Linked DNA regions of Nothobranchius furzeri. The protein of the gene in region 1 interacts with the protein of each later gene in a pairwise test. Links are inferred from orthologs where the notes say so. Each region holds a gene or a part of one and is shown on either strand. Other genes may lie near its edges.

Evidence for each region. The genes of interacting proteins can lie anywhere in the genome.
Region 2: the proteins of usp19 (region 1) and siah2l interact in a two-hybrid assay, tested with the Homo sapiens proteins (2 studies listed by BioGRID). The link is inferred for Nothobranchius furzeri from reciprocal best matches to the Homo sapiens genes USP19 and SIAH2.

Annotation. Positions count from the first base shown.
Region 1 is NC_091755.1:48,418,294-48,421,945, reverse strand, and holds part of usp19 (ubiquitin carboxyl-terminal hydrolase 19), read right to left. Parts: intron 3,637-3,652; coding exon 3,112-3,636; intron 1,455-3,111; coding exon 1,103-1,454; intron 980-1,102; coding exon 829-979; intron 752-828; coding exon 680-751; intron 426-679; coding exon 310-425; intron 1-309. UniProt on the Homo sapiens protein: Deubiquitinating enzyme that regulates the degradation of various proteins by removing ubiquitin moieties, thereby preventing their proteasomal degradation. Stabilizes RNF123, which promotes CDKN1B degradation and contributes to cell proliferation.
Region 2 is NC_091750.1:26,755,783-26,759,434, forward strand, and holds part of siah2l (E3 ubiquitin-protein ligase Siah2), read left to right. Parts: intron 1-1,123; coding exon 1,124-1,303; intron 1,304-3,652. UniProt on the Homo sapiens protein: E3 ubiquitin-protein ligase that mediates ubiquitination and subsequent proteasomal degradation of target proteins.

The DNA.
Region 1 (3,652 bases):
ATGTTTCAAAAATGATAAAAAACGGTTTGTCGGTGAACTTGGTCTTTAACAACACGCCCATATCTTGTTCCTTGGGTGTACTTCAGTCCCCAAACACAAAACCTCTGACTAGCATATGAAACCTTGATAACCGTGTCCTCATAAATAAACTTTAATCAGTTCTGTACAAAATCAAACATGCTGCAGGTGTAGAGACCTAACACCAGCTCTGAGCCCCTTATTCCACGTTCCATGTGAACAGAAAACCTTTAGTGTGTGGGGGATAGAAAAAAAGAATAAAGTCCTCCAAATAGAAACCTGGCAGCAGACCTTGTGTGGCCGGGGCCTCTAGAGCCCCCCAGCGCTGGCTGTGTCTCTTTTTCAGGGTGATGTCGAGGCGGGACGGGGTGAAGGAGTAGCTGCAGTGCTCGGGCTGGATCAGGTTCCTGACACACAACAGACCAAAATACATTCAGGCCAAATTAGAGGAGCAGACATAGCAGCATGAGCCAGCTGCTGAAACTGATCTGAGAGCAGCGCTGCCTTTCACTGGAGGACCTGCCCTGAATACTTTGATGTAATCAGCTGTTTTAATACACAACAAGCAAACTACTGCTAGCGTTTCTATCCATCTGCACATGTGTAAATAAGTCACTATGGATAAAAGCGTCTGCTAAATAAATAAACATAAACATGTTACCTGAGTTTGACTTGCCACTTGAAGACCGTGTTTGGCCCACAGTCAGGATGAAGCCGGAGAAAGTTTCTGTCGCTGTTAAAAGATAAATCAGATCAGCTACTGATAGTTTGATGGTAATAAAGCCCTTGAGCGGTGCTTGTGTTTGCTACCTGGTCTGAAAGATGAGCGTAAAGTCTTGCTCTCTGAAGATGACCCTGGCGGTGTCTCTGCAGACCCCCTTAAGGTAAACGTTCACCACCATCAGGTCTGTGCCCTTCTCATACGAGTCGTTCTTTACAGCCTGCAGGTTCACCATGGGCTCTGCAGAAAAGTCAGATTTGATTTACTACGGTGCAGAAATGTTACCCGGTGATTTCCCATCATCCCGTGCATGATTAAACAAAAATACAAACAAACGGCGTCCACTAAAACACCCTCACTAACCTTGTTGTTGCATCATCTCCAGAGGGGCTTCTTCTTTAGACTGGTCCTGCTTCTCCTCCCCATCCCAGCTTTGCCTGGCAGCCACACAGGCAGCTGGAGCTGAAAGCATCTCTGTTGAGTCTTCATGTTGCTGTGAGATTAAAGCCTCCTGTCCTGATTCATGTTCAGCAGCTTTTCTGTGTGGTGATGAGTCTGTCCGGTCCCCCTGCATTTGGAGGGAAGTAGCGTCCACTTTATGGCTCGAGTCGGTGGGTCTGAGGGAGTGATCGATGACGGGAGGAACGGGCTGGCCATCGCGGACTTGTTCTGTTGCTTCAGACGTTTCTGATGATTGGTTTGTTTTATCTGACACCTGGTACAGAAAAAGGAACTGTTACACATAATTACCCTCTATTAGAGCTGGGTGCTGGGGCAGCATAACCGCTCCACAGCCAGCGTTTCTGGCAGCACGATTCCACTGAACCCATTCAATGCAATTATCTTTGATTGCTGCTTAAAGGAAAAAGTCTAATTACTAAACACTTTAAGATTGCACAACAGTCAGGAATAAAAGTATAATAAGGCTACGTTCACACTGCAGGCAAAGGTGTATCACATCCGATTCTTAAGTATTAAATCTGCCTCCTACGTCACCGAGTCAGCAGAGGTGAGCGCCATGTGTTGACGTTACATGACTGGACATCCTGTTAAGTATGAGAGCAGGAGGTGCTCTGGAGGTTTCTTCCTGTTAAAAGGGAGTTTTCCTCTCCATCGTCGCTACATGCTTGCTTAGTATGAAAATTGCTGTAAAGACTCTGACACTAGTCGGTGACTTGAAGCAACCTGCTGGGTTACTTATACAGGACACTTTTAACTCACTGGCTTAATGAGCTGAAATGTTTACTTTGTGAAGAGCCTCGAGACGACTCTTGTCGTGATTTGGTGCTGGTGCGATGCGCCTCTCTGGCCTACGTGAGAGCAGCCCTCTATGAATCAACTAAAAACAGGAACACAGGGTTTCACCCAGCGCCAGGCTTTGCTCGGCCACCCGCCAGGCTAAGCGTCATGCCCCGCCCCCCTCCTCTGCCAGGCTTAACTCCTTTTCTGGGGGAAACCCTGGAACACCAACCCAGTTTATAGTTTAAAAATGGTTTCCAGCCCTAAACGAGACTTTCTTTCGTCTTTCACATCACAACTCCACGCCTCCTGATTCTGACTCCACTGAGCGCTCTGCTGCTGCCCTCGCGAGCCGCTTCGGGGTTGTGAACTGTCCATACTGGGGTGTTTGCTGTCGCATTTCAGTTATAATGTGAACAACCACGCAAAAAATTGGATTTATTTAAAAAAATCAGATATGAGCATTATGACCTGCAGTGTGAACGTGGCCCTAGACAACTAGAATTTCCTGCAAACACAAAGTATTTGGTGAATGGTCTGTATTTATATAGCACTTTCTAGAGTCCTATGACCCCCCCAAGGCACTTTACAACACACCAGTCGTTCACACACACACACACACTGCTGCTGATCAGCCACAGATGACCCGGGACACACTGACAAAAGCGAGGTTGCGGTACACGGATGCCACCGCCCGGGCCCTCCGACCACCACCAGCAGGCAGCGAGGATTAGGTGCCTTGCCCAAGGACTGCGACACAGTGAATGTGACACAAACTAAATATCTGAATCGTTTATATTTAAATATGAATATCACAAAGAGCGTGCTTCACTTGAAAAGGGTCACATTTCAGTTGCCGGGTTCTGTATAAAGTCTGCTTGTGTTACTTTGACTCGACGCTACTGTCTTCAGTTTTAGGAACAAGCTCCTCCTCAGCCAGATCACACGGTCCCCGCTCCCATAGCTTCCGCCAACTGCGGTGACGAGCAGCCGGCGGCAGCTAGCGGGAGATGGTCACGGAGATCTGGTCGACCATTCAGCACCATTTTCTCTCAGTATTCTAATTATCAACTGGTAAGTTTAGACGAAACTCAAAGCAATGATGCAACACAGGATAAGAGACTGGATCTTACCCGAGTCCTGCTGGCTGTCTCGTCCAGGTCCAGGTCCTCCCTACTGCCCCGCGCCTCCACTCTGTTGTCTCCATGACTGTGTGTACGCAAGCTCTGGACGGTGGTTAGGTGTGAAGGAGGGGCTTCCACGTTTGTAGACCTGACAGACGCTGGGTCCATTTCTTCACCCTCTCTCACCTTGGACAGCGGTACGCTAGTTCGCTTGGCACCAGACTCCTGCAGTTGCTGGGTAACGTTTGTGACGGTCTTAGACTTGACGCTAATGTTTGAGCCGTCTCCAGCTCCACTTCTCACACACACAGAGTCTGTCGCGGCCTTGTCAGAGGCTTTGTTCTTCGAGCTGCGCTTCGTGCCTCGCTCTGATTTCCCGTTGATCCGTCTGGATTCACCGAGAGCCGGCGATGAGGGGGGCTGGGGTTGTGGCTGCCCTGATGACCATTTAGGTTTCTCTGATGAATCCAAGACAACAGGCTTTGCATCACTTTGGGCGTCTGTCTGCACCGCCTCCTTCTCTTTCTTGTTTGACTGGAGCAGAAAACAA
Region 2 (3,652 bases), on another chromosome or scaffold:
GCGACAACAGAACTGATGGCATCACATGCACTTTCAGCAATGGCTGAAGGTGGAATATAAACGTTTGCCAAGACAACACTGGTGAACTCTCTTGGCAAATAATATGGGCGACAACTTACTGCCTAGTGTTCAACATCTGGGCTGCAGAGACGACATTTCACTGAAACATGACCTGGATGGCACCATCTGTTGTTGAAAAGCACTGCCACTCCACCTCGTTTTCTTTTCCTGCTCCTCTACAGATCTCCGTCTGCTCGTACCATCAGGAATCCTGGCAGAGAGACGCTGGAATCGGGTATATGGTCCTGCAGTCATGTCTCAGTGAAACACATAACACTGCACTGCCGATACTCTGGCTGAGTCCTTGAAAGGGCTTGGAGTTCATCCATCTTGTTGGCCAGTGATCTCACATTTTCCATTACGATCGATGGAAGAGATGGTTTGAATTTCCTCTTTATCTCCGTTTTGCTCCCGCTCTTCACCCACGCTTCTTGCGTTTTAGCTCATTTGGGATTTGTGGCTTCAGTTGAGGTATTATTTCAGCCTTTCCAATGATAATCCGCTGCTCCCGATTGTAAACCAGCTTGTTGCCATGGTTACACATAATAACAAATGCTCAAAAAGTGAAAAAATAGCAGTAAAAATCCTCCAAGCTTCACAGCACCAGAAACAGAAAAGTAAAATGTCCAAAAAAATAGTTTTTCTTGAGAAACTACAAGAAAATGGGAATAATATATATATTTAAACAAGACGGTTATTATTATTGTCAACTTTTTTACCGGGGTTTACCGCTACACCGGTTACCGTGACAACCCTAGTTATGAGTAACTAATAATTAGTCATCTTTATTAGTCACAAAAAACTATTCATGTTCATGGCTAACTAATAACTTGTCTTATTAATGAGAAATTAATAATAGTCTAGTTTTTTAGTAACTAAAAACTATTCCTGTTTATGAGTTTTAATAACTAGCCCTGTTCATGGCTAACTAATAATTAACGTTAGTTCATTTTTATAGCAGCAGTCGGAACATCTCAGGTTAAATAGAAGCTCAGGAGGAAGTCTGAACGTTTTTATCTTGGAGTGTTGCTGAAGCTGCTCCGTCTTTTCCATCCTGCTGCAGTATTCATCAGCCGGCTGCCAGCTGTCGCTCCACCACAGCGAGAAACCTGACCATGAGGAGGTTTGTGAGTTCAGACCCTACACCTGTCCGTGTCCCGGAGCAACGTGCAAGTGGCACGGCTCACTGGAGGCCGTCATGCCTCACCTGATGCACGCCCACAAGTCCATCACCACACTACAGGTCAGAACCCTCAGCCCCCGACAGGACCTCTGACCCTGACTTCATGATTCTGTGTGTGAATCCTCTGACCAGGATTTCAGAATCCTGAACTTTGGTTACGTATTGTAACCCCAGATTCTATTAGTCTAGTTGCAGCCCTTAAGCTAGCTGCTATTGGAAGGATGATCTCAGCATCAGCCAATCATGAAGAGCTTAAATGTACGCCCACCAATGGTGGGCACCCCTTGTGGGTATATAAGTGGAGCAACTCCACTGTTCGCCTCCAATGGCTCTTAGTCCTAACAGAACCAGTGGGTACAGTGGCTTAAGGGCTGCAACTAGACTCATAGAATCTGGGGTTACAATACGTAACCAACGCTCTATTTCGTCTAGTCTTAGCCCTTAAGCTAGCTGCTATTGGAATAATGCGCAGCTAGATTGGTTTACGCCACACTGGTTAGCTCAACCAATGGACACACGCAACATGTCTCCTTTTAGTGAGGGACGCTCAGCCGCAGCCCAGGGCTTAAAAGCCTGAGGCAACCAGAGAGAAGAGTGGGGCCCCACTAAAATTATCATCCACAAGAGGATGAAATTCATTCAAGTAGGGCTGATGTGGTGCCATAATGCCTTCACTCAGCCTGCTGAGGTCCAAGCACTGAACAAGTGATGGAGCCTGAAGACACATCTCGTGAGTAATAACGAGTAAAGGAACAGGGAGAACCCCATGAAGCAGCCTGACAAATGTCTTCCATCGACACACCACTGTGGAGCGCCATAGAAGAGGAAATCTCAGGAGGATCCCGCCCTGATGATGTGTAAGCGAGTGAAATGGCGTCACAAAGCCAGTGTGAAAGACGCTGGGTCGACAGCGCTTGCCCAAGGGAAGAATCTCTGTAGTGCACAAACAGGCTTTGTGAGCAGCAAATCCCTGAAGTGCGTGACACATGTCGTGCGAGCGCGCGCACCGGGCAGAGAAGGTGGGAAGCCGCATCCTCATCAAAATTATGGGGAGGAGGAAAAAGTCCAGCCAATGAAATTGACCTGGATTTGAAGGAAGCATTAATGTTTTTGGGCACAAAGGCTGGGTTGGGGCATAAAACCGCAGACCCGCCATCTTCCCGGATCCTGAGGCATGCGGGAGCCACTGAGGGCGGTTAGGTCGCTCACTCTCTTGACTGATGCCAGCGCCAGCAGCAAGGCAGTTTTGAGTGACAGGAACTTGAGTGAGACCTGGTCCAAGGGTTCAAATGGGGCTTCAGATAAGCCACGCAGAACCACCGTTAGGTCCCACTGGGGAAATAGTGGGCGGGACACAGGTCTGTTCCTTCTGACACCTTTTAGAAAATGCTTTGTGAGGGGATGATTGAAAACAGATCTATCTCCAAAACCCTGGTGACAGGATGAGATAGATGCAGCATATGTTTTAATAGTGCTGAATGTGAGGCCCCTGTCCATCAGTATCTGCAGAAACAATAGGACATCCGCCAGCTGGCAGGAGAGCGCTTGAACATTTCGCTCCGTGCACCAGTTCTGGAAAGCTGCCCATTTAGCAGCATAAGATGCGACGGTAGGGGGCGCCCGCGCACTCTGAATCGTGGCCACCACATCATGCGGCAGCCCAGAAGCCTCTAAGCGTGACCGCTCAGCGGCCAGACCTACAGCCGTTGGCCTATTTCTGGAGGATGTTTGATTATCCCATCCGCCTGGAGAAGGGAGTCCGCCCTCCACGGGAGCCTCCACAGGGAGCCGGACACTAGCACTTGCAGGTCTGGAAAACATGACGCGGACAAGCGTCTGGGAGCCATCAGAATTACAGAGAGCTGCTCCGACCGAACTCGGTCCAGGAGACGGGGAATCAGTGGGACTGGCGGAAACGCATATAGGAGTGTTTGAGGCCAGGGCTGGTGTGAGAAGGCGTCCGCTCCGAGCGGGTGGTGGTTCCGGGGACTCAGGGAAAACCACAGGTGACACTGAGCATTTTCGCGAGCCGCGAACAGACCCACCAATGGTTCCCCAAACCTGATCCAGATCTGTGATATCAGTGCGGGATGCAGACGCCAGTCGGAGTCGTGGGGTCCCCCTCTCGACAGGATGTCTGCAGCTACATTCAGGACCCCCAGAATGTAGGTGGCTTTGATGGACAGCAGGTGGACATGTGACCAACACAGTAAATCTGTGGCTACACGCAATAGTGGGAGGGATCGAACTCCACCCGTGGCGATTTATGTAGGCTGCCGCCACCTGGTTGTCTGTGTGAACTTCGACATGACAGCCCTCGAGAAGGGCAGCGAAGTGACTGATCATATTCCTCACTGTCATAAGCTCCAACACATTTATGTGCTCGTGCGTGTGGGGGGGGCAGCGATC